Linked DNA regions of Xenopus tropicalis. The protein of the gene in region 4 interacts with the protein of the main gene of each other region in a pairwise test. Links are inferred from orthologs where the notes say so. Each region holds a gene or a part of one and is shown on either strand. Other genes may lie near its edges.

Region 1 (4,108 bases), on a different chromosome or scaffold from region 4:
ACTCCTGATACATCTCCCCAATATCCATTCATTCCTCATTCTCACTGGGTTTATAGTTATGTGTAACTGTCACTGTGTCTGTCCCTTTCCCTTCCCTGCACTGCTGGTTCTGACTCCTGATACAACTCCCCAATATCCATTCATTCCTCATTCTCACTGGGTTTATAGTTATGTGTAACTGTCACTGTGTCTGTCCCTTTCCCTTCCCTGCACTGCTGGTTCTGACTCCTGATACAACTCCCCAATACCCATTCATTCCTCATTCTCACTGGGTTTATAGTTATGTGTAACTGTCACTGTGTCTGTCCCTTTCCCTTCCCTGCACTGCTGGTTCTGACTCCTGATACAACTCCCCAATACCCATTCATTCCTCATTCTCACTGGGTTTATAGTTATGTGTAACTGTCACTGTGTCTGTCCCTTTCCCTTCCCTGCACTGCTGGTTCTGACTCCTGATACATCTCCCCAATATCAATTCATTCCTCATTCTCACTGGGTTTATAGTTATGTGTAACTGTCACTGTGTCTGTCCCTTTCCCTTCCCTGCACTGCTGGTTCTGACTCCTGATACATCTCCCCAATATCCATTCATTCCTCATTCTCACTGGGTTTATAGTTATGTGTAACTGTCACTGTGTCTGTCCCTTTCCCTTCCCTGCACTGCTGGTTCTGACTCCTGATACATCTCCCCAATATCCATTCATCCCTCATTCTCACTGGGTTTATAGTTATGTGTAACTGTCACTGTGTCTGTCCCTTTCCCTTCCCTGCACTGCTGGTTCTGACTCCTGATACATCTCCCCAATATCCATTCATTCCTCATTCTCACTGGGTTTATAGTTATGTGTAACTGTCACTGTGCCTGTCCCTTTCCCTTCCCTGCACTGCTGGTTCTGACTCCTGATACATCTCCCCAATATCCATTCATTCCTCATTCTCACTGGGTTTATAGTTATGTGTAACTGTCACTGTGTCTGTCCCTTTCCCTTCCCTGCACTGCTGGTTCTGACTCCTGATACAACTCCCCAATACCCATTCATCCCTCATTCTCACTGGGTTTATAGTTATGTGTAACTGTCACTGTGTCTGTCCCTTTCCCTTCCCTGCACTGCTGGTTCTGACTCCTGATACAACTCCCCAATACCCATTCATTCCTCATTCTCACTGGGTTTATAGTTATGTGTAACTGTCACTGTGTCTGTCCCTTTCCCTTCCCTGCACTGCTGGTTCTGACTCCTGATACAACTCCCCAATATCCATTCATCCCTCATTCTCACTGGGTTTATAGTTATGTGTAACTGTCACTGTGTCTGTCCCTTTCCCTTCCCTGCACTGCTGGTTCTGACTCCTGATACAACTCCCCAATATCCATTCATCCCTCATTCTCACTGGGTTTATAGTTATGTGTAACTGTCACTGTGTCTGTCCCTTTCCCTTCCCTGCACTGCTGGTTCTGACTCCTGATACAACTCCCCAATATCCATTCATCCCTCATTCTCACTGGGTTTATAGTTATGTGTAACTGTCACTGTGTCTGTCCCTTTCCCTTCCCTGCACTGCTGGTTCTGACTCCTGATACAACTCCCCAATATCCATTCATTCCTCATTCTCACTGGGTTTATAGTTATGTGTAACTGTCACTGTGTCTGTCCCTTTCCCTTCCCTGCACTGCTGGTTCTGACTCCTGATACAACTCCCCAATATCCATTCATTCCTCATTCTCACTGGGTTTATAGTTATGTGTAACTGTCACTGTGTCTGTCCCTTTCCCTTCACACAATCATGTGAGTTCTTGCCTCCAACACCCGAGCAGCTGCTCCTGACATTGCCCCACAGCTGCTGCCAAACACAGTGCCCTACACAGCGCAGGCACGATGGGCACAGCTGGAAGGGTGGGAATGCTATATATATATATGTGCTTCCGTCCTTCAGCATTATTTGTGGGGGGGGGGGGCAAGGGGCATTTGGCTATTTTAAAGTGTAGAGAAGCCAAACTAATTAAAAGAAGGAAGACTCTTCATAAAAAAGTTACCTGGCTACTGGTCACAAGTGGTACTGCAGGAGAAAAAGCTACTGATGCTATTAACAGTCAGGTAAGTCTGATTTGATGAACTTACCCTTTAATCCATGGAATACATATCTGTAGGAGGGCAAAACTGCGGAGCTGGAGGATAAGATACTAAGCTAATGGGGCAGTGAGAGTTTGGGGTTAGTTTCAAAATACTGAATGAGCATTTCCAGGGCCAGAGAGGGATGAAGAGATATTTAACACAGTAGCTGAGGTTGAAAAAAGACACACATTCAATAAAGTCTAAAGTTTTGCACCAGTAATTCCCTTTGGCACATTAAATGAGGATTAATAGCAAGTAACATAGCAGCGGAAGTTAAAAAAAGACACTCAGCCAGTACAAAGCCAGAAGTAGGAGAGAGTTGGCAGAGAGAGAGCGGTACTTGCCCAGAATGACTTTCCCATCCGCGGTCAGGAGTGCGGCCCCCACTCGGAACTTGCTGTAGGGGCAGTGGGCTCGCTGCTTGGCTTCGTGGCTTTGGGCAACGAGTCTCTGGATGAGTTCAGTCTCTAGACTGGTTATACATCCGTTATCATGGCAGTTGCTATTCCCATCCATCCCTGGCACTCAGGAGTGGGGAAGCCTCTGTGGGTATCAGTGTGTCCCCTAAAGTCTCAGCAGTGGGTCTGTGGGGGTCAGTAGCTGCCAGTGAGGGCCAGTGAATAAACTTTAGTGATTGGGTGCATTAACCCCCTGGCTCCTTGGCTGTAGGTGTCTGTTGGCAGCTGTGTCCTGTAGTTGTGGGTGTGTGTATCCTGCAGCCTCCGTGCCTCACTATTTGTATGGTGCTGAATTCCTCAGGGTGGCTCCTCTCTGATTGGCCAGGCCTCAGCCCTCCTGCATTCCTCCTCTGTATCTTGTCTGTTTCACCCAGGGGCAGGGGTTTGTTCATGGGGAGGGAGGCAGGGAGGGTGAGTGACAGGTTGCAGTGCTGTGTGACCTCATTGGTGGAACAAAATGACTCCGGCTTCCTGCATGGCTGCCCGTCACTGCTGCTCTGACTCAGTACAGTCATCTCTCCGGCTACGTGCTGTCCTGTCACGTCACTCCGTGTGTATCCAGAGCCACCGCCAGAATGTCACCGTGCCCAGGCTGGAATATGGGCATTCCTGGAGAGCAATGGGAAGAGATGGGGGGGGAGAAATATATAAATAGAGAGAGAAGGGAGAATAAATAGAGAGAGGGGGAAAAAGAGAAAGAAAAAGATGAAAGAAAGAAAGAGAGAGGGGGGAAAAAAGAAAGAAATATATATATAGGGAGAGAGAGAGAGAGAGAGAGAGAGGGGCGGAAGAAATAGAGAGAGAGGGAAAAAGAAAAAGCAAGAAGATGAGGGGGGAAGCAATAGAGAGGGAGAAAAGAGAAAGAAAGAAAGAAAGAATAATAGAGAGAGAGAGAGAAAGACAAAGAAAGAGACAGAAATAGATTAAGAAGGAAAGTAAAAGAGAGAGAAAATTAGAGACAGACTGTGAGAGACAGGACTTTCCCCAGTCCCCATATACTGACCCCATATACTGGGGTTAGGGGGTCAGTATATGGGGACAGGGGAAAGTCCCCCCTTAAACCCCCCAATTCCCATATACTGACCCCCTAACCCCACCCCTTACACCCCCCCAATTCCCATATACTGACCCCCTAACCACACCCCTTAAACCCCCCCAATTCTCATATACTGACCCCCTAACCCCACCCCTTACACCCCCCCAATTCCCATATACTGACCCCCTAACCCTGCCCCTTACACCCCCCCAATTCCCATATACTGACCCCATAACCCCACCCCTTAAACCCCCCCAATTCCCATATACTGACCCCCTAACCCCACCCCTTACACCCCCCCAATTCCCATATACTGACCCCCTAACCACACCCCTTAAACCCCCCCAATTCCCATATACTGACCCCCTAACCCCACCCCTTAAACACCCCCAATTCCCATATACTGACCCCCCTAACCCCACCCCTTACACCAGGGGTGGGCAAACTACGGCCCGCGGGCCACATCCGGCCCCTTGGCCTTTTTAATCCGGCCCGCCGACGAC
Region 2 (3,500 bases), on a different chromosome or scaffold from region 4:
ATATTTCTAGGTAGAAGGAATCAACTCCAGGAGGAATTGTGCACTGAATCACTTTGTTCCACCGTGGGTTCTTAGCCCCATTATGAGCAGTAGGCGTCTCATACACTGCATATCCCAAACGTATCCGGCAGTATGGGTCCATCCGGGTCATTCCATAATTCTTAGCAAGCTTAGCCTGGGAGCAAAAGTAAAGGCAAGTCAGTGAGTCGGAACCTTTTCTAGAATAATACAAAGGGCATCCACTGATATGGGGAGAGGGAAGACTCCTGTTTTTTCCCTAAACATGAACCCTCAGGAGAAGAAATGACAATATGCTGGCATCAGAATACAATTATAAACAAGCATTTGAGGTCTGGAGCTAATGTCTTCGCTGGAGCGAGTACAATCTCTCTCTCTGGATCCTCTGACCTCTTACTGAGCTTTCTGTGGGTATACAGAAAATATTCCACTAGTGCTTGAGATTCACTTTAATTTCCCACTTGAACATCTCTGCGGTATATAATAGTGCTTCAGAAATGACAGAAGCCTATTGTGACTGATATAAAAACAAAAGAGAGGCTTGGCACATGTATGCTGTAGTGGCTGATATGAGGCATGTGTATCACCCTGGGGTCCCAGGTATTGCTTACCTGCACCACAGTAATGCTGAGTCGGCCCATGGTCCCCATAACTCCAGAATACTGTAGCTGCTGTGCTGCCTGGGCATCCAACTGTATCTGCTGCTGCTGCTGGGTAGGGGTAATGCGCAGGAAATCTTGGGGCAGTTCCCCAATAAACACCTAAAACCCAAAGAGAAAGGATAATAGTGAGCCATAAATGGCATGATGCATTTTTAACATATTATGTATTACTTCTAACAGGAAAGGACACTGAAAGCATCCAACCACCATCTCCAGTAACTGATCACTAGAGACATTGATTGCAAAGGCCTGGAAATGACTATTCACAAAAGCATCAATTTCACACACCCAGTTCTACTACAAAGAACCTGGGCCCAACGACAGTCTTTCATAGCTAAAGACAGATATACATGGGATGATGTTTCTGCCAAATGATTGGGCCGATACATATATGTTCACAAATAGGCTTAATTTACACAGGTGAAAGGACAACACTTTGCTCCTATTATCACTGCTTGCTGCTGAACCCCTTTACTCTTTCTACCAGACCCAGACTTGCAATCTGTGGGTTCTGGCAAATGCCAGAGGGGATGCTTTAAGATGCCATAGGCCAGTGATCCCCAACCAGTGGCTCGCGAGCAACATGTTGCTCACCAACCCCTTGGATGTTGCTCCCAGTGGCCTCAAAGCAGCTGCTTAATTTTGCATTTCTGGCTTAGAGGCAAGTTTTGGTTGCATAAAGACCATGTGTACTGACAAACAGAAGTATGCTGCTAGTCAACATAGGGGCTACCAAACAACCAATCACAACCCTTATTGGGTACCCCAGGGTACATTTTTCATGCTTGTGTTGCTTTCCAACTCTTTTTACATTTCAGTGTGACCTTCCATGGGTAAAAAAGGTTGGGGACCCCTGCCACAGACAGTCACTATTTATTGGGCAGGCCGAGGGCCTTTTAGGCCTCTGTGTGCTTGCCAGGGCATAGTTTAAACCCCAATCTAGACCTTTTGCCTAGAGCACACTTAGGGACCATAAAGCGCACATTAAGGTCAGGCAGTCTGTGTGTTGCCTGTAGCTGTGAAAGATCATACAGCCAGCCGTCTGTGCCTCAAGTCCACCATCACTGCCAAAAAATAGTAAAATAATCAGAAACCCAGAGTAGACATTCCACAGAGTTAGTGAGTCAAAACAGGGATTATCGAATGGCTGTCCCAGTGTCATCCCCAGGAAATTGGGGCACTGTGGACGATGTTTTTAAACTATTATATGTGTCCCTTTAAACTCTGGGAGCTCATGATTGAGCTGTTGCAACATGGCATGGGTGACAGCTAAAACACCTACGGGTGCGGCCCTGAAAGAGGAGAATAGTAATAAACGTTTGTTTATGCTAAAGAGCCTATATGCTCAATGTATCATACACATAATAAGTGTGCCGTAGCATATGCCTGCCCTTGGATCAGTGTAATGCAATATACTCACAGAAGGATGAATGGGGCTGAATGGGGCTGGTCCAGCTGTTCTACTTCATTCTGCCCTTCCTCTACTACTCACTTGCATTGCCTCTTCTACAATATACACTAAATGGTCAAGACTGCAATCTAATAATTGTATCTGTGCTTGGAAAGAACCAGGAACTTTCAGCAGTGGGGAAGGTATTGAAATGAATGATGGAAAAGGTTTAATGATTAAATAGGGGAGGGTTTAGCTTTATGGCTGAGAGATCAGTCATATTTATGACAGCTTATCGAGTCCAAGGGGTCACAGATTCTATCTTGAGCCCATTAATTAACACATAAGCATTTAGGGCAGTGCTGCATTTCCAAGCAAATACCATTCAAATAAATAAGGAGCGAGTGCCTTGTCATATAACAATGAACACAAAACCCCCAAAATTGCTCCACAATTGAAATTTTCTACATGGTTGCTAGGGCTTGATTACCATAGCAATCAGGCAGCAGTTTAAAAGTTAGAATGGAAGATCAGTAGGAAAATATCTTAAAAGAAAGATAAGCAAGTGAAGGCCAAGTGAAAAAATAGCTTGAAACAGTTCCATCTTTAACATAATTTAAAGTTAATATAAAGGTGTCTTTCTACCCAGTAGTGACTCAATTTGCAGTTTTAGCCTTGATGGAAAAGCAGCAAAACACTCTCCGACCTATCAGCCGCTCAGCTGAACAGCACCATACATCGGCCAACACTGTACATCGGCAGATTAAATTTTCAAACCTGTCTGTTTCCGACCATTATCTTTGTACCTTGGATTTAAGTTGTGATAGTCCATCCAACATACACATACCAAAAAGCATACAAATATTTTATAGGTATAGATATGGCCAGCCTATTGACTGTAATCATTTCCTGTTGTGCCTAAGTACAATGGCAAAAGAAGCGATTTGGAACCTGTGGGAAATAGCCAGTCCTGCAAAAGAGAAATTGCCAGAAAATACCTTACCATCCGGATTCATTAATATTTGCCATGTGTAAAACACTTTACATAAGAAGGCATTTTCACATGATTTGCAAGGGTCTGGAGAAATGGGGCAGCTACCCTCCTACCCAGCGCCTCTACAACCCCACCATTTGGTCATGTTCTCTAACCATACCCAACCAACAAGGGCACTGCCAAGCACCAATATCATTTTACTATATAGAAACCCTGCTCCCAAGCTAAAATATATGCGGTAATCCTCAACTGTAAAGTGTTTTTATAACAAAACAAGTGCTATCCTCCAGCTGGTAGGAGAAGCTCCTTACTTGTACCAGGCACTAAAATCAAAGGTGAACTGGTCTCAACGATTGAATTGTTCCAGTCTGAATCACTAAAGGTGCGGCTGCAACAGCTGCCCTGGATTAGCCTTGGGGGTTAGTGGGAGATATCA
Region 3 (3,420 bases), on a different chromosome or scaffold from region 4:
TAGGCCCAAACTGTACTAATGGCACCGACGTGTTTATGGGTCGGTCCCCCCTAGGCCCAAACTGTACTAATGGCACCGACGTGTTTATGGGTCAGTCCCCCCCTAGGCCCAAACTCTACTAATGGCAGTGACGTGTTTATGGGTCGGTCCCCCCTAGGCCCAAACTGTACTAATGGCAGTGACGTGTTTATGGGTCGGTCCCCCCAGGCCCAAACTGTACTAATGGCACCGACGTGTTTATGGGTCAGTCCCCCCTAGGCCCAAACTGTACTAATGGCACCGACATGTTTATGGGTCAGTCCCCCTAGGCCCAAACTGTACTAATGGCAGTGACGTGTTTATGGGTCAGTCCCCCCTAGGCCCAAACTGTACTAATGGCACCGACGTGTTTATGGGTCAGTCCCCCCTAGGCCCAAACTGTACTAATGGCACCGACGTGTTTATGGGTCAGTCCCCCCTAGGCCCAAACTGTACTAATGGCAGTGACGTGTTTATGGGTCAGTCCCCCCTAGGCCCAAACTGTACTAATGGCACCGACGTGTTTATGGGTCAGTCCCCCCTAGGCCCAAACTGTACTAATGGCACCGACGTGTTTATGGGTCAGTCCCCCCTAGGCCCAAACTGTACTAATGGCACCGACGTGTTTATGGGTCAGTCCCCCCTAGGCCCAAACTGTACTAATGGCACCGACGTGTTTATGGGTCAGTCCCCCCTAGGCCCAAACTGTACTAATGGCACCGACGTGTTTATGGGTCAGTCCCCCTAGGCCCAAACTGTACTAATGGCACCGACGTGTTTATGGGTCAGTCCCCCCTAGGCCCAAACTGTACTAATGGCAGTGACGTGTTTATGGGTCAGTCCCCCTAGGCCCAAACTGTACTAATGGCACCGACGTGTTTATGGGTCAGTCCCCCCTAGGCCCAAACTGTACTAATGGCAACCGACGTGTTTATGGGTCAGTCCCCCCTAGGCCCAAACTGTACTAATGGCAGTGACGTGTTTATGGGTCAGTCCCCCCTAGGCCCAAACTGTACTAATGGCACCGACGTGTTTATGGGTCAGTCCCCCCTAGGCCCAAACTGTACTAATGGCACCGGACGTGTTTATGGGTCAGTCCCCCCTAGGCCCAAACTGTACTAATGGCACCGACGTGTTTATGGGTCAGTCCCCCCTAGGCCCAAACTGTACTAATGGCAGTGACGTGTTTATGGGTCAGTCCCCCTAGGCCCAAACTGTACTAATGGCACCGACGTGTTTATGGGTCGGTCCCCCCTAGGCCCAAACTGTACTAATGGCAGTGACGTGTTTATGGGTCAGTCCCCCTAGGCCCAAACTGTACTAATGGCACCGACGTGTTTATGGGTCAGTCCCCCCTAGGCCCAAACTGTACTAATGGCACCGACGTGTTTATGGGTCAGTCCCCCTAGGCCCAAACTGTACTAATGGCACCGACGTGTTTATGGGTCAGTCCCCCTAGGCCCAAACTGTACTAATGGCACCGACGTGTTTATGGGTCGGTCCCCCTAGGCCCAAACTGTACTAATGGCACCGACGTGTTTATGGGTCAGTCCCCCCTAGGCCCAAACTGTACTAATGGCAGTGACATGTTTTATGGGTCAGTCCCCCCTAGGCCCAAACTGTACTAATGGCAGTGACATGTTTATGGGTCAGTCCCCCCTAGGCCCAAACTGTACTAATGGCACCGACGTGTTTATGGGTCAGTCCCCCCTAGGCCCAAACTGTACTAATGGCACCGACGTGTTTATGGGCCAGTCCCCCCTAGGCCCAAACTGTACTAATGGCACCGACGTGTTTATGGGTCAGTCCCCCCTAGGCCCAAACTGTACTAATGGCACCGACGTGTTTATGGGTCGGTCCCCCCTAGGCCAAACTGTACTAATGGCACCGACGTGTTTATGGGTCAGTCCCCCCTAGGCCCAAACTGTACTAATGGCAGTGACGTGTTTATGGGTCAGTCCCCCCTAGGCCCAAACTGTACTAATGGCACCGACGTGTTTATGGGTCAGTCCCCCCTAGGCCCAAACTGTACTAATGGCACCAACGTGTTTATGGGTCAGTCCCCCCTAGGCCCAAACTGTACTAATGGCAGTGACATGTTTATGGGTCAGTCCCCCCTAGGCCCAAACTGTACTAATGGCACCGACGTGTTTATGGGTCAGTCCCCCTAGGCCCAAACTGTACTAATGGCAACCGACGTGTTTATGGGTCGGTCCCCCCTAGGCCCAAACTGTACTAATGGCAGTGACATGTTTATGGGTCAGTCCCCCCTAGGCCCAACTGTACTAATGGTACCGACGTGTTTATGGGTCAGTCCCCCCTAGGCCCAAACTGTACTAATGGCAGTGATGTGTTTATGGGTCAGTCCCCCCTAGGCCCAAACTGTACTAATGGCAGTGACGTGTTTATGGGTCAGTCCCCCTAGGCCCAAACTGTACTAATGGCAGTGACGTGTTTATGGGTCAGTCCCCCCTAGGCCCAAACTGTACTAATGGCAGTGATGTGTTTATGGGTCAGTCCCCCCTAGGCTCAAACTGTACTAATGGCACCGACGTGTTTATGGGTCAGTCCCCCCTAGGCCCAAACTGTACTAATGGCACCGACGTGTTTATGGGTCAGTCCCCCCTAGGCCCAAACTGTACTAATGGCACCGACGTGTTTATGGGTCGGTCCCCCCTAGGCCCAAACTGTACTAATGGCACCGACGTGTTTATGGGTCAGTCCCCCCTAGGCCCAAACTGTACTAATGGCAGTGATGTGTTTATGGGTCAGTCCCCCCTAGGCCCAAACTGTACTAATGGCACCGACGTGTTTATGGGTCAGTCCCCCCTAGGCCCAAACTGTACTAATGGCAGTGATGTGTTTATGGGTCAGTCCCCCCTAGGCCCAAACTGTACTAATGGCACCGACGTGTTTATGGGTCGGTCCCCCCTAGGCCCAAACTGTACCTGTATGACCATGGAGACATTAGTTGCAGGTTCCTGGAGCTGTTGCTGCTTCTCGGTATCTGCGCTGTATTTATAGAAGAATTGACTGGAATCTCCCCGGCCTCTCCCCCGATTGCTATTATTGTCACCTCTACCCCTGAACCAGTGCCCCCTTTGCCCGTTCCATGAAAAGTCTCCCCTCCCTCTGCCCATGCCCCGACCACAAACAGGCAGCGATACACTGGGCTTTGTAAGTACACGTTCAGGGGGGGGCGAGTGCTGCTGAATAGGAGAGGGCGGAGCCTGCAGTGGGGCAGGACAAACAGACGTGTCGATGCCCGGGACCCCCAAGGCAGTGTCTGTATCAGAACTAGAGATGGGGGGTTCTGGCTTCTTGCCCTTCCCAGGAGAGATTCCATTCACAGCCCTGGGGGGCACAGACACGGATCCCCTGGCACTGGCTTGGCGCTGCCCT
Region 4 (4,102 bases):
GCTGCAGAGTGCCATTGAGCCCTATGGGAGACTTTCCTTGGGCCGGGTTGGAGCTGCAGAGTGCCATTGAGCCCTATGGGAGGCTTTCCTTGGGCCGGGTTGGAGCTGCAGAGTGCCATTGAGCCCTATGGGAGGCTTTCCTTGGGCCGGGTTGGAGCTGCAGAGTGCCATTGAGCCCTATGGGAGGCTTTCCTTGGGCCGGGTTGGAGCTGCAGAGTGCCATTGAGCCCTATGGGAGACTTTCCTTGGGCCGGGTTGGAGCTGCAGAGTGCCATTGAGCCCTATGGGAGACTTTCCTTGGGCCGGGTTGGAGCTGCAGAGTGCCATTGAGCCTTATGGGAGACTTTCCTTGGGCCGGGTTGGAGCTGCAGAGTGCCATTGAGCCCTATGGGAGACTTTCCTTGGGCCGGGTTGGAGCTGCAGAGTGCCATTGAGCCCTATGGGAGACTTTCCTTGGGCCGGGTTGGAGCTGCAGAGTGCCATTGAGCCCTATGGGAGACTTTCCTTGGGCCGGGTTGGAGCTGCAGAGTGCCATTGAGCCCTATGGGAGACTTTCCTTGGGCCGGGTTGGAGCTGCAGAGTGCCATTGAGCCCTATGGGAGACTTTCCTTGGGCCAGGTTGGAGCTGCAGAGTGCCATTGAGCCCTATGGGAGACTTTCCTTGGGCCGGGTTGGAGCTGCAGAGTGCCATTGAGCCCTATGGGAGGCTTTCCTTGGGCAGGGTTGGAGCTGCAGAGTGCCATTGAGCCCTATGGGAGACTTTCCTTGGGCCGGGTTGGAGCTGCAGAGTGCCATTGAGCCCTATGGGAGACTTTCCTTGGGCCGGGTTGGAGCTGCAGAGTGCCATTGAGCCCTATGGGAGACTTTCCTTGGGCCGGTTGGAGCTGCAGAGTGCCATTGAGCCCTATGGGAGGCTTTCCTTGAGCCAAGTTGGAGCTGCAGAGTGCCATTGAGCCCTATGGGAGACTTTCCTTGGGCCGGGTTGGAGCTGCAGAGTGCCATTGAGCCCTATGGGAGACTTTCCTTGGGCCGGGTTGGAGCTGCAGAGTGCCATTGAGCCCTATGGGAGACTTTCCTTGGGCCAGGTTGGAGCTGCAGAGTGCCATTGAGCCCTATGGGAGACTTTCCTTGGGCCGGGTTGGAGCTGCAGAGTGCCATTGAGCCCTATGCGATGCTTCCAAAATCATGCACTGAAGGATCAAAGTCAGAAAGGTTTTCCCACCGTTTACGATCGTTTGAATACGAAAATTTCATGACTATCACAAACGATCGTTTCAAAACAAAAATTTCGGATTGTAAGTACGAAATTTTCGTATTCAAACGAAAGGAGATTTTGTGACTTTCGCAATGATCAGAAATTATTGGATTTCGTGAGTCATACTTTAATGAATCTGGCCCTAAGTGTTAATATTTCCAAGATCTCATTTTATCTTATTTTATTTAGGTTTCCATATGGCGACAGACACAGGTGTTTCTCTCTCAGTTTGTGGCAACTCCGAGCCCTGCAGTCGGCCTATAGCTACGGTTGCAGCAGCACATTATATTTTAGTTACTTTTATACACTTTCATTTTTTGGTGTTACTGTTCCTTTAAGCTATCCCCTACAGGTTTAGTCCGGTTGACCACTCCCCTTGGCAGACTATATAGTGTCTTGCACAAGGGAGTGTCTTCCTCTTTGGCTGCCCCTGTCTCAGGCATCAGTCCATTGAGCCTGGGTGCAGACGGCCCCAGTAAAAGCCACTTATATCATCTGAAGTCGGGGACAGGGCCCCGTGAATGAGGAGAAGACAGTATAGCAGCATATTTCATAGCACCCTCTAGGAGTGGTGAGTTCAGACAGAACTATATAGAACGAGCAGCCATTTGCTCCATCCAGGATAATAGCAAAGGAGTAGTCTTCCTAACAGGCATTACTGGCCTTAGATTAGGGACACAGAAGTGCTAGGGGAATAGGTTAGCAAATATGCCTTGCCCTAACCTCCACCAGAGCATGGGACTATGCCGGTGAGCTTTCCTACCTATCACGCTGTTGTTGTTCTACCTGCCCAAACCTCTTGATGAGAAGGGATACACAGGGGAGCATCATATTTCTGCTATTTATCAATTTTACATCAACTGTATAACTGCATACTGTTCTGCATCTATTGAGTATTGAATACCCTGAATACCGTTGTCTTGGACAAATAAAGTATTATCCAGTTCATTCATAAGAATCCTCTGGCGTCCATTTCTATCTATTGCACCACACTACCTCAGCTAGTTGTAGTTCAACAACACCCTCAGCTCCATTAATACCTCCCACTTAGCTCTACAGCACGCTACTAGCCTGGGTTGGCCATATTATAGCCAAACAAGTGTTACAGAGGTATTGTACAGCGCTGCGGGATATGTTGGCGCTTTATAAATAAATGTTAATAATAATAATAGGGGGGATTATGGAATTGCCTTTAGACAGGAGTAGGAGGGCTGCAGGCAGAAAATCTCATAGCTGCTGGTTTTGAGGGGACCCATAAACCTATAGGGCCAGTTGTGCCCTTCCCCCCAAGCTTACCAGTAGCAGCCGGTATAGTGACAGTCACTGCGCCCCGGCAATAGGGACGGGACCTGGGCTGCCTGCTCCATAGCTCTCCCCCTGCACCACAGCCGCCTTCCATTCAGCTGTCACAATAACAAGGAAGCCACCGGGTGCTACAGCCTAAACATTCCCCCGGAAACTGCTACCCACTATATTCTCCCTCCTAAGCTGGCTTTAAGCCGTCACCGGTCCCGACTGTCTAATCACAAGTCAAACACTTTTTCCACACACAACGAATCCTTATTATTCAACGTCACTATAAATATTGCAGTTGTCGCCGCTGTAAAGTCCCTGCGTTCGCCGAAAACATCGGCCGAAGGGTAAAACACGTGTTCACGTTTCAGCCAATCAAAACTCGCCCTTTAGTTCCCGCGCTAAAAACAAACTGCGGACGCGCCAAAACAAACGTGTCCCTCCGCGGTATACGTGTAACCGAATGTAGTAGTTCCTCGAGCGACTTGCTCGCACCGCGGCCGATACACGTGTACGTACGGTTTACACGGGCAGAGAGTATTAGCTGCGCTGACGGAAGGCGCTTGGTGTTGGAAATAGGAAAACCATAGTTTAGACAGTCGGCGGAGGGATATGATCTGGGAGAGCGTCAGGCTGTGGAAGTTTTGTGGCGCCAGAATTTGGAATCGCTGTCCCGTCCGACTGATCCGTTTGTGAGGGTTGTAATCAGCGGCGGGAGCGGTCATGGTGCTGCTTCGGAGCTCTACGGGGACGGCTAACGGCGCTGGGCCTTCTTACCGGGAGCAAGACTCTCTGCTCGATGCCAGCTCCGAGTTTCTGAGTCTGGAGCCCCAGAACGAGTCCCCGGAGTTGGGCAAACGGAGGTCTCAGAGGAACACCGGCACCAATGGGGCGGCCCGGTCTGGCCAAGTAAGTCATGGGTATATTATTGGCTATATTCAGCGTGTTCCGAGGGGGCTGAGGTGTACCCCGTATTCTGGAGCATTGTCCTTGGCCCCCCAGTAACATACGGGCAAGTTAACGAACGTAGATAAATAGATAGGGGTTGCCCACCTCTAAGTGACCCTTTAGTATGACGTAGAGAGAAATATTCTCATTATTTTATTATTTGTAGTTTTATAATTTCATTTTTTTGTTAGCTTGGAGTTCCAGCACCTATTTGGTTGCTTGGATCCAAATTGCCTTAGCAACCAGGGAGTGGTTTGAATGAAAGACTGATACATGAATAGGGGAGGGCCCATAATTGAAAAATTAAGTAATAAGTATTTAGAAAGTAACAATAACACTGTAGCTTCACAGAGCAATAGTTCTTTGGGTCAGTGACCCTTATTTGAAAGCTCAAAAAGTTAGAAGGCAGCAAATCAAAAAATATAAACAATGAAGACTAACTGAAAAGTTGCTTAAAATGTGCCTTTCTGTAACCTACTAAAAGTTAATATAAAGGTGAACTTCCCCTTTAAACTACAACTCCCAGAATTCCCCTGACAGAGGAATGGCCTCCATACATAGGACCTAAGCCTTCCTGCACAGCTGGCTTCCTGGGTCTCTAAAGAT
Region 5 (4,261 bases), on a different chromosome or scaffold from region 4:
TTTGCAACCATTATGGATCTATGCAGCTTAGTTACCATCAAGTAAAAGGTAATATTTTATTATTACAGAAAAAATAATTTTAAAGTATTGGAATTATTTGCTTAAAATGGGCAGTAGGAGAGACGGCCTTCCTGTAATTTGGAACTTTCTGGATATCAGGTTTACAAATTAGAGATCCTGTATATATATATATATATATATATATATATATATATATATATATATAAAACACAAAATAGCCGGTACCGCACTCACAGGTCTTATAGAAAGATATTTATTCAAAAAATCGTGTCTAATGTTTCGGCTGCCATTGCAGCCTTTCTTTTTTGAGAAAGGCTGCAATGGCAGCCGAAACGTTAGACACGATTTTTTGAATAAATATCTTTATATAAGACCTGTGAGTGCGGTACCGGCTATTTTGTGTTTTACTATTTCGTATTGGACTGCACCCAGGCATCCTTGACTCTGTATTGTGAGTGCCTGTTACCAAATTTTGTGATTTTATATATATATATATATATATATATATATTTTGTTTGCATCAAAAACTCTCCACATTATTTTACAAACAACTGAAACATTTATTAATCATTTGCCTTGTTCTACCATGCCACTAACAGTATACCTGAATTCAACTATTCCAAGGACAAAACAATGCTGTTAAGGGAGCCAGTGTCCTTTGCATGTTCCACTTACTGTTCAGAGGAAAATGCAGCTGCTCCTAGAATCCTTTTTTAAAACAGCTGATCTTCATACTAGCATGCAATTTTGTTAAACCTGAAAATTTGACACAAGAAGTGAATATAAAAATACCAATATTGACGAATTTGCAAGAAAATGTGTGATGTGTATGTAAACTATAGGCAACTGTCCTGGGCCTGGACTTGAGAAACACAGAGGAGAACCGCACACTGAATGGTGCATGGTCAAAAAGTACTGGTACTAAAAAGCAAAATTCCCACACTCAAGATGTTTGAATCTTCTACTGAATTGTAAGTTAAATGCCCTGTGGGTTTGTGAATCCCCTACTAGCCTGATTTCCCTTCTTTTTGCATATTCCTGGCACCTGTAACCTAGATACCTGGGTAGAATAGTTTTTCCCTATTGGTTCACGGATGTTATAATTGTTTCCTGTAATGTTTAATATAGTAAGCGGGATCACATGGCTCTTGCCTTTTGGCCTCCACCTGCTGGAATGTCTGCTGGGCTGTCTTGGACAATAAGGCCCTAGTAAAGAAGAGGGACCACATAGGCACATGGGGAAGTATGAAATGTGTTTGTTTCTGTGCACCCCTGCGGTGAAACGCAGAAACAAACGCTAGTAATTACAAGCCCTAAAGGGCATCTCATAGTTGAAATGCAGGAGCTAGTTCACACTTGAGAACTGGTATCCATTATCCTTATTTGTTTGCAGCATGAGAGGTATTGTTTAACAACACTATTTCCTTCCTCTACACAGTAATGCAAGGACCCAACTGTGAGAGAGGGTTATGGCTTTTTAATTTTAATATTACTATTTTGACAAAACAAGGACCATTTTGTACCACCTAAAAAATACACAGCAATGAGAACTGCAACTCATATATTACAACTTCCCGTGTTTTAAGGAAAATCCCAGAAACTCAAGACACCTAGGATTTATTGAACAATTTATGAACACATTTGTTTAAACAACAGATTTACTGTATGCTGCACTCACAAAACAACAGTTGTGCAGATCATGCTTCCAATCAAAAGCTGATGTGATTGACTGTTTAGAACTAAGCAATTGTTCTGATCTACAAACCAGAATAATTAAGTTTGTCGTTTTCTCCCATTAAAAAAATACCAATCTCACATTCACACTATAGAAAGTGGTCCTCCACTGCATGAGCTTGATCACATCAGAATGTCAGCATGAAAGTTAAGGCATGCAATTACATACAATTTTGATGAATGTGAACTCTTTCCATACAAATGAAATCTGACAAGTCACAGGGTAATCATATGCTCATCACTCCTAAAGGATGAATGAGGATGCGACTGACTGACTCCTGAGGTCGGACCTAAATTGCCACACATAGAATCTGTCAAATCCCCAGAAACAAATCTTACTGTGGGACTACAGCCAGGGTTGCTCACTTACTAAAACAACAAGCCCACAAAATGGTACCGCACTACATATATACACACAAACAGTGACTGATAACAAGGTATACATGTGTGTGTATGTAATAATATACAAAATTTAAGCTGCTTTTACTTAGCATTTGTAAACACACAAACATGTATACTGAACTACATTTCTGTTGATCAATATTACAGCTTTTTAAGAAACATTTAAAAAAGCATTTTTATACAACAAACTATAGGAGTTGGAATGATCAGCAGGCATCACAAGTGGATAACACCATGTGCAGACTAGGGATAATGAGTAAAATATTTCGGTTGTATTAGAGCCACCTACCTCTTCTTCTGGAAGGCTGATCTCATCCTGAGAGCCCTCCTTTTCAGCTATGTTGCTGTTCATTGTGGTCTCCTGGGCAGAGGCTTCTGTGAATGTCAGTTTCTACAGTGCAGACTTTTCGCTTTCCTTATACTGGGAAGTGCTGGAGAAAGACTGGAACTTAGTTTCAAGCAGTCAGGTTACTGGTTAGTTTAATGAAAAGCATATCATTTAGATCCAAATATTATAATAAAGCTCTTGTTCTTTCAGAGTTTTGTCTTAAAAGTAAGATGAGGAAGTCTGTGGTTTGTACGAGTGATAAGGAAAGCAAGCGAGGGGGTGAGAGAGGAAAGGGGGATTGCGAGTGACTGTTGGTGATTAGGGTTAGGAGCAGCCTTTGCTTTCTGAAGGGGAAGGGCTTAAAGCAACTTCAGAGCCGGGACTACAAAACTCCCAGTTTGTGGGTGGGGAGCTGCTCTGTTTAGAGAGCAGGGAGGGCTGGTGAGAGAAAAAATCAGTATCGGGTCCAATTTCTTAGTTAAAAAATCAGCCGTGCTTGAAAGCGTCTTCAGAAATTGACGATTTCCAGACAAGGTCAAAGGGTGAAATGCCGAGAGATAGAAAATAGGCAGCGGCAGCAGGGTGAGAGAAAGAGAGAGTGGAGGGGGCGGAAAGAGTGATAAGCACTGTGTTTGGTGCTAGTGGTGAGTAGGATCTATTACAGTGCAAGTATACCTGAATGTTCTGGGTGCCGCCTTACCCTCCTTATATTATTTCAATTTGTAGCGATAGATCTTAACACTTTCCTGTAAGGTTAATTTAGGCAGAGGTTTACACCAAGGTGCGAAGTACACAATGTAGGAACCAGCAAAGATAATGCGCTCTTATGCATTTATTCTTGTTGTTGTTAGGATTCCACAAAAGAGGGAGCTTAGAGCCATGGCAATGAGACCTGGAGATTTGAGCTAAATCTGCTTTATCACAGTTTACTAATCTCTTAAAAATGCTTTCCCACCAGCAGTAATGTAAATCGTAGGTGACTAAACTCCACATGTGCCTCAGCCTTAGGGGTGACTGCACACATAGGAATTAGTCACCCTTGATATATCTGCTCTACCACAGGTGTCTAATCTTCTGGATATTCTTTGTGAGAAAATTACGTTCAACTTTAGAAGAACAAAGCAAAGCGTATGTTTTCCCAGTGGTGATTTACATTATTGCTGGTGGGAAAGCATTTTTTGGAGACTAATTTCCACATGTGCCATCACCATAAGGGCAATAGCCCACAGGAGGATTAGTTGGCCACGGTTAAATCTTGGCTACCGCGGCCAACTAATCTCCCTAAAATTTTGGGAACTAATCCCAGAAATGTGAATTCCCTGCAGGAGGAAACAGCACAACTTCACAAAACAAAGCAATGCATATGTCTTCCCATCGGCAATTTACTTTATTGCTGGTGGCAATCTAACAATAGGTGACTAATCTCCCTATGGGCCTTAGGATACTGGGAGACAAGGAGATTTATCACCTGCGGCAAATCTAGGCTACCTCAGGAAGCAGATCTCCTAGAAATACTTGTACCTTCATTAACATTCTGAGCGCGGGAAAATATCTTTTGAAATTTTCTGCAATTAAGCCAGATCATTGGATGTAATGTATTTTACATGCAGCAATCTGAATGTGAGCAAAGGGGTATTTTCTGGAGATTTGCCTTCACTTTAAGGCCCAGGTGAGGAGCACATATTTCCCTCAGACTCGCTTATATTCAAATCGCAGCATGTAAAATATTCTATTTTCAGATTTGGTGTCTGTGGGTAACAAAGGTTTCCTGCTGGC
Region 6 (2,711 bases), on a different chromosome or scaffold from region 4:
GCTCCATTTTTAGCAGCTACAGAGATATTTGATTTGCATTTTTAGACTGCTTATACCAGGCCTTTGGGCTCAATGGAGAGCCAGCTAACTGAATACATGGCGTACATAGAAAGTACAGACAAGTAGGGTCAAGGACAGCTGTTGACTTGAATGCCTGCAATTAGCAGTCTAAACACTGAATAAGTGCACATTAATTCACATAATGTAGATACCTTTAAATACACCAGGATAAAAACTACCCCTGTTTGAGATTAGCTTTTAGAAGAGCAATTAGAAGCATGGACTTTACATTTTTCAATCAACCATTCTCAAGGAAAGAGGCAGAAGAGAGGGCTTTAAAACATAGAAAGGAAAATAATAATGAAAGAAATGAAAGTAAAACTACTTTCTTCCTTCTCCTTTCACAGCAAGCCCACAGCAAAGGCACACATGTCAAATGCTTCTCTACGCCTGCAGGTAAAGAGAAGCTGATCTAATGTAATCAGCAACTTCCTGTAGCTCCATTGACAAGCACAGCATCGGTGTGAATGCACCTATACAGAGTGGAGATTGGACCGAAAAAAATATCAGCTTTCGCATTTTTCAGGCCAAAATCTTTCAACTTTAGGGCACATATATGAATATTGGTGCAACAACTATATGGGCATAATACCTGAATCTTGGAGCACTGTTTCATTTTATCTTCTTGTGGAATTGTATTGGTTACCACTACAGCCTCAAATGCTGCGTTATTAATTCGAGAGATTGCGGGACCAGAGAAAATTCCATGTGTTAAAATTGCATAGACCTTTGTTGCTCCAGCAGAAAGTAATCTGCAGAAGATGAAATAAAACAGACATAACATGAACAATGACTTCTGGAAGGATATTCTCTATCAACATACTGACATTAAAATTACATAAAAAATAAAAATTCATGTTTGTATATGCTTTTATGCATTAAATCTTGTATTTCTGTATATATACTGTATATTGTAAGTAGTTCCCTAAGCTCAGGTTACTGACAGAAGCACAGAGCATGTGCTATGAATCAAAGAAAATAAAAAATCAGGGGGCTACTGGGGACATCTTCACTGGCACAGATCTTCACTTAGCCTCCTCGGGCTAACAAACATAAAAATGTGTTGTATTTCTAGCTTACTTCTTTTTTAAGCTTTAGTTCTTCTTTAAATACAATTTTATTTTTATTTAACACTGAAAAGGTGTTTCTTAACAGGACTTACTTATCAGCAGCATGACATATGGTGCCACATGTATCAGCCATATCATCTACTAGGATAGCAACACGATCCTTTACATCTCCAACAAGCACCATTCTGTCCACCTCATTAGCTTTCTTTCTTTCTTTGTGGATGAGGGCAAATTCCACATTTAGCCGGTCAGCAATAGACGTCACCCTATGATTGAGTTTGGGGGAAAAAAATAAGAACTGTTTGGAACAAAAGAAAAAAATACAGTTTTCTGATATCTAAAGCAAACAAATGCAAATGGTATGCTTTGATAAAGGGGTATGTGAGTTTTGTTTTGCTTCAGGATTTCTTAAATCATATTTTTAATTTATGCTGAACGCCAAATAATACACTAAAGAATTAATGAAATATCAGTCTAGAATCACATTTATACCTCCCACATTATTAATTGGTGCTCCGTTAAGGCCTACCACTAGATGGCACTTAGACAGCATGCAAATGTTTCAGTATTTAATATATAGGGTAGACACCTAAGTCTTGAAAGCATAGCAAAAATTAATCATACCTATACCCTCATAAAGGTTTGGTGGTAACACAAAATGGGCCAGCTTTACTAACTAGCACTAAAAATTGTGTTTTAATAATTGATCAAAAACTAAAATTTTTTTTAATTCATTAAGTGTAAAAACCACAAAAAAACAATAATAAAAAAAAAGTCCCTCCAATGATGCATAAAGGCTGTATTTTAGGGAAGGGAGGTGCTTGTTTAAATGCAGCTAAGAAACTCTGAGCAAATTACCCTGTTTATAATTAAAATAATAAAACTGAAAGAACACAAGTTCTATTTATTAGCAAAACATTCTTTAACAAAGGTGTTTTAGGTGTATACTGTCCCTTTAAATCACTGGTAGTAATCTAGAAAAGCTTATGAACTGTACAAGGTCTAGTTACCCACAGCAACTAGTCTTATATCTTCTTTTAAACAACAGTAAATGGCACTTGCTGACTTGCAATGGGTTACTAGATATGGGGCAAAGATTTGCTGATATACAGAGAGGGCTTATTAACAGGCTGTCTCAAACAGTTTTCAGTCTGCAAATGTGCCAGGTTAAAGGGCGAGGAGTACATCAGGCCTTAAGTATGGTCCTCTCCCAAAGGGTCTGCATATCTCTATGTAGTCCAATTGTTGGTCTGTTTGAAAATCGGATGGATCAGTACAATCTAAAAGTGGGAATACACAGGCAGATTGGTGACCTTTCTAAACAAGCAGATCTTAACATGTATGGCCACCTTTCCCTACCTCCTTGATGGCCAGAGATCTACGTGTCTTGGCAGATATTAGTGTATATAGTCAACATTAGTCTGCAGTTTGGAAATACATGTATTTTGGAAGCTGTTAAGTATGAATTATATAAACTGCCAATAAACTTAACAGGGCTATGGTTACACAATGGATAAGAAGAGGTTAAACATAGAAATGCCGCTACTACTTCAAAATACATAAGAAATTTACATGCACAAC
Region 7 (4,134 bases), on a different chromosome or scaffold from region 4:
AAGTTCCATTCTTACTTATACTTGGTTCACTTTAGTCACTTTAGTCACCTTTAGCAACTATACAGTGTACTGTGGAAACAGGACCTACTACCTAGACCAGATGTTCAGGAGGAAGAGTTATTAGTCAGATGAAATGCAACGTCTTAACAGATACCCACCCAGGAAGGAAGGCTGGAAGAGTGCCTCTGGGCATCTAAACCTCTCATTTCCAATTGTAATTACTTGTCCATCAGGCAGTTCGTAGCTCTTTTCCAAGGATGAGGAGGATGCAGCAGTTGCCATCTCTTGTTCAAAGTCAAGAGCAACATAGCAGAGTTTCTCCTTGATGTCACGCACAATTTCTCTCTCAGCTGTGGTGGTGAAGCTGTAGCCTCTTTCGGTCAGGATTTTCATGAGGTAGTCTGTCAGGTCACGACCAGCCAAGTCCAGACGCAGGATAGCATGGGGCAAGGCATAACCTTCATAAATGGGTACTGTGTGGGTGACACCATCTCCAGAGTCCATCACGATACCAGTGGTACGACCAGAGGCATACAGAGACAGCACAGCTTGAATGGCGACATACATAGCTGGGGTGTTGAAAGTCTCAAACATGATCTAAGGGATACATGAGAACAATGTTAATTCTAAAAATCAAGACGAGTTAGAACCCCAAACCATGCCAGCATGCCATCATGCAAAACAAAGAGATAGATGTGTAGAAAAACAGAACAAGCAGAAATAAACCAATGAAACAGAAACCTGAGACTTCAGGAGGGAAATGCCAGGAGAGGTACAGAGCCCTGAAAATATTGAAAGAAAATTGGAGTTTGAGAAATAAGAATGAAGTGTACAAGAACTACCCCAAAATAAGTGTATTTGGGCCTTCCACTGAAAACAAACCTGTGTCATCTTTTCTCTGTTGGCTTTGGGGTTCAGGGGAGCTTCTGTAAGCAGGACTGGGTGCTCTTCAGGGGCTACACGAAGCTCATTGTAGAAGGTGTGATGCCAAATCTTCTCCATATCATCCCAGTTTGTAACAATTCCGTGTTCAATTGGATACTTAAGGGTAAGGATACCCCTCTTGCTTTGGGCTTCATCACCTACATAGCTGTCCTTCTGGCCCATACCAACCATTACACCCTAAAACAAAAAGAACAGTAAGTCAGCCCAAGAAAAAAAATTTAAGCTGCATTTGCTGGATGAAGGATTAAAGCATCACTTATATATACCTGGTGTCTTGGGCGTCCAACAATAGAGGGGAACACAGCACGGGGAGCATCATCTCCAGCAAAGCCGGCTTTGCACATTCCAGAGCCATTGTCAACGACGAGTGCTGCAATTTCCTCATCCATTTTATTTCTGTGTGGTAAACAAACAGATCATCATAAGCAAAATAAGGGACTGGCTATTTATCTCAGTCAGTAGCCACAACCTCACTCCGTACACAGCTAAGCCATTTGTAGGCAAGTGTACCAACAGTAAGGCATAGTAACCGTTTAATCCACTTCAGCCCCACCCTACCATGAGCGACAAGCGTTAAACACTTGTTTCTTAAGTAAAAAGATTAATCATGAATTATGTGGAAAGTTTGTACACTGAAAGCTGTACAAGGTAACAGGGAATATCCCACAGCTGATTAACAGCATTAATAGTAACACAATCAACACTTCTATGATTAGATAATCGTTTAATGAAAGGCTAAGGCAGCCCTTTTCATAGGCTAAAGACTTGAGGCAAGTGGTACAGCCAGTCACGCCCTGTTATTCCCCTCAATAGGGAAAGGGCACACCACAAAAAAAAAAAAAAAAAAAACACAAAAAGGCTACAAGACTTCAGCTGTCAGGCTAACAATACAGTGTAGCTATCCAAGCAATATAGAACATTTACAAAAATGACAGGATGTAAAGCACACAATCACCCAAGTTATTTGTATTTAAGAACAGCTGCCCATACTGCAGAATCTTTAATTTAATATAGTTATAAATAAACATAATAGAATAGATTTCTCTGACTCGCCCTAGTGTTAACCCCCGCCCTTACTTTATACAACGCAGGAGCCGGTACCGGCTAATGAACAGCAGCCCCACCCCTAGAACTGGTGTGATGTTTAAATCTGCCCTGACTGCTCGCTCAGCCAATCACAGAGCTCTTGCCCTAATATGGAAGCAGAATGCAGCAGCCACGCCCTGCCGCTGAAACAAAAAGCTACAAGCTTCAAACTCGTGGGCGTGGCCAACAGAGGTGGGGTGACTCATACAAGTAACTGGGGGGGGGAGGCGAGAAATAGCTTCACCCCTACCCTTTAGAATGGTGCAGCCCGTCATGCTATCGCAGGGAAACCCGCGCAAACTTCTAGCCATAAGGGAGGGAAGCCACCTCCGAACGGCGACTGACACCAGAGCCATATAGTTCTGTACATAGCCATATTAACATCATTCGGCACCCAGGGTAACCAGAAGTATGACAAGGGCCAGATATGTATATAGAATATGCCTATTTTAAAATAGAATATCGCAGGGCATTGTAACACATTAAGATCAACAGCAGCTTTTTAGGAGAACAAGTTAAGCGTGCATTACTGGAGACTTACAAATATCCAAGCCACAGACAATACGGTCATGTAACAATATATAGACAGAACACTACCACACGCTATCCCGGCCAACGGTACCCCATAAGACTTCTTCCGCCCACCACCCACACACAGCCGTAAGACATTGTCTAAGGTCTTACCTTGGTGCTGGAGGTTTCCTTAAGAGGAGAAATGCAAAGCTGGCAAGTTGTTACAAAGAGCGGGAAGTAGCTGTCAAGTCCGCTGCCACCGGCTGAATGAGAACCCAGTAGCGGCCGTTATCTCTATTTAACGTCACAGGCTTCCAGCCCCGCCTGCTGCCGCACAGACAGAAGATCGCCAAATATGGGCATCTTTCAGAAACACGCCTCGCCATTGGTTGCTTGGTTGGGAGAAGAGGCGGGACCGGAGTCCTGGCCCTACGTCCACCCGGAACCCCTGAAGTTACATGCGCTTATGAGCAATAGGGAGGCGTGTAAGGCCTGGCCGTGTTAGAGCAGGAAAGCCGCTACCCTTGCACATATATGTTACTATTACTTGAAACATTTCTCTAAAATGTATTGTAAAATACAGGGAAACATCGTAGTCCGGGGATTTCTAACTCTCAAGTTCTTATGCGGTGGGACAGTGAGATACGGATTACTGGGGTAGCGGAGGTTGCTGGGAAGCGTAGTTAACAATAGCAGGCGAGCGTGGTGCCACTATGGCCAAAGGGAAGGATGGAAATACCTTTTAAGGTCATGTTTTTTTCCTTAGGTGTTTCATTGTCCTTATACAGAGGGTGTGCATTTTCCTACAGTATACCCAATAGGAACACATTACATCCTTGAAACTTTATTTTTATTTCTTTATCTAAAATTAGAGTGGGATCTGGTCGAATTCCAAGCCCAGGGAGTTTTGTAAATAAAGTGCTAAGTGATACATGGGCTAAACCCTATATAGATATAACACAAATGCATGGATTGCCTATAGACAGGATATTAAAGGGCGTGGTTCTACTACATACCCCCTTTAGGTACCTTGCTGGGAAATGCTTTATTTTGTATTCTCTGAAGCCTCAGGTGCTTGAGCATTCTCCCTTTAGGGCTAAGATGGAAGGAATACATTCAGGGTGGGACTGCTGGGAAGTGAGCTCAGTCTTGCATGTCACATTACCTTAAACAGAACTTTCTAAAGAACAATCCCTGAAGGCAAGGGCTGCTTGGTGGGTACATTGCCAGATTATAAAGACAGATTCATTAAAGATGTTCGGAACAAATTGGAATAGACATTACACATATAGAGAGGGAATGGCTTAGGAATTGCAGCAGTTGTTAGAGGGAAGCTTACTTGCAGAATATCCTGTATAGTGACAGTCATGTGTTTGGCTTCATGCAGAAAATGTTGTTATGGTGAAACAAAGTTCATGGTACGTTACTGGGATGGTCTCTGTATAAATCTGTTCAGAAACATAAACTATAAGTGCAGAATGTACACTTACCTATACTGATCTGCCCAATTTGAGCTGATAGTTCTCTTGACTGTCTGCTTCTACTGGGGAAGGGAGTCGATTTTGGGGTTCAGGAGGGGCAACATCACAC

The links.
Region 1: the proteins of wdyhv1 (region 4) and cda interact in binary tests that used the Homo sapiens proteins (3 or more experiments, as listed by UniProt). The two-hybrid records come from large-scale screens. The link is inferred for Xenopus tropicalis from reciprocal best matches to the Homo sapiens genes NTAQ1 and CDA.
Region 2: the proteins of wdyhv1 (region 4) and tollip interact in binary tests that used the Homo sapiens proteins (3 or more experiments, as listed by UniProt). The two-hybrid records come from large-scale screens. The link is inferred for Xenopus tropicalis from reciprocal best matches to the Homo sapiens genes NTAQ1 and TOLLIP.
Region 3: the proteins of wdyhv1 (region 4) and coil interact in binary tests that used the Homo sapiens proteins (3 or more experiments, as listed by UniProt). The link is inferred for Xenopus tropicalis from reciprocal best matches to the Homo sapiens genes NTAQ1 and COIL.
Region 5: the proteins of wdyhv1 (region 4) and rbpms interact in binary tests that used the Homo sapiens proteins (3 or more experiments, as listed by UniProt). The two-hybrid records come from large-scale screens. The link is inferred for Xenopus tropicalis from reciprocal best matches to the Homo sapiens genes NTAQ1 and RBPMS.
Region 6: the proteins of wdyhv1 (region 4) and prps2 interact in binary tests that used the Homo sapiens proteins (3 or more experiments, as listed by UniProt). The two-hybrid records come from large-scale screens. The link is inferred for Xenopus tropicalis from reciprocal best matches to the Homo sapiens genes NTAQ1 and PRPS2.
Region 7: the proteins of wdyhv1 (region 4) and actg1 interact in binary tests that used the Homo sapiens proteins (3 or more experiments, as listed by UniProt). The two-hybrid records come from large-scale screens. The link is inferred for Xenopus tropicalis from reciprocal best matches to the Homo sapiens genes NTAQ1 and ACTG1.

The regions. Positions count from the first base shown.
Region 1 is NC_030683.2:129,542,495-129,546,602, forward strand, and holds the start of cda (cytidine deaminase), read right to left. Parts: upstream 2,801-4,108; 5' UTR 2,628-2,800; coding exon 2,456-2,627; intron 1-2,455. UniProt on the Homo sapiens protein: This enzyme scavenges exogenous and endogenous cytidine and 2'-deoxycytidine for UMP synthesis.
Region 2 is NC_030680.2:21,544,252-21,547,751, forward strand, and holds part of tollip (toll-interacting protein), read right to left. Parts: intron 780-3,500; coding exon 630-779; intron 176-629; coding exon 1-175. UniProt on the Homo sapiens protein: Component of the signaling pathway of IL-1 and Toll-like receptors. Inhibits cell activation by microbial products. Recruits IRAK1 to the IL-1 receptor complex. Inhibits IRAK1 phosphorylation and kinase activity.
Region 3 is NC_030686.2:52,253,180-52,256,599, reverse strand, and holds part of coil (coilin), read right to left. Parts: coding exon 2,967-3,420; intron 1-2,966. UniProt on the Homo sapiens protein: Component of nuclear coiled bodies, also known as Cajal bodies or CBs, which are involved in the modification and assembly of nucleoplasmic snRNPs.
Region 4 is NC_030682.2:139,824,729-139,828,830, reverse strand, and holds the start of wdyhv1 (protein N-terminal glutamine amidohydrolase), read right to left. Parts: upstream 2,801-4,102; 5' UTR 2,623-2,800; coding exon 2,552-2,622; intron 1-2,551. Other genes in the region: atad2 (ATPase family AAA domain-containing protein 2), read left to right, coding at 3,272-3,457. UniProt on the Homo sapiens protein: Mediates the side-chain deamidation of N-terminal glutamine residues to glutamate, an important step in N-end rule pathway of protein degradation.
Region 5 is NC_030677.2:83,961,183-83,965,443, forward strand, and holds the start of rbpms (RNA-binding protein with multiple splicing), read right to left. Parts: upstream 2,801-4,261; 5' UTR 2,510-2,800; coding exon 2,447-2,509; intron 1-2,446.
Region 6 is NC_030678.2:106,105,344-106,108,054, forward strand, and holds part of prps2 (ribose-phosphate pyrophosphokinase 2), read right to left. Parts: intron 1,397-2,711; coding exon 1,223-1,396; intron 813-1,222; coding exon 653-812; intron 1-652. UniProt on the Homo sapiens protein: Catalyzes the synthesis of phosphoribosylpyrophosphate (PRPP) that is essential for nucleotide synthesis.
Region 7 is NC_030686.2:28,628,393-28,632,526, forward strand, and holds the start of actg1 (actin, cytoplasmic 2), read right to left. Parts: upstream 2,801-4,134; 5' UTR 2,716-2,800; intron 1,342-2,715; 5' UTR 1,335-1,341; coding exon 1,212-1,334; intron 1,123-1,211; coding exon 883-1,122; intron 598-882; coding exon 159-597; intron 1-158. UniProt on the Homo sapiens protein: Actins are highly conserved proteins that are involved in various types of cell motility and are ubiquitously expressed in all eukaryotic cells.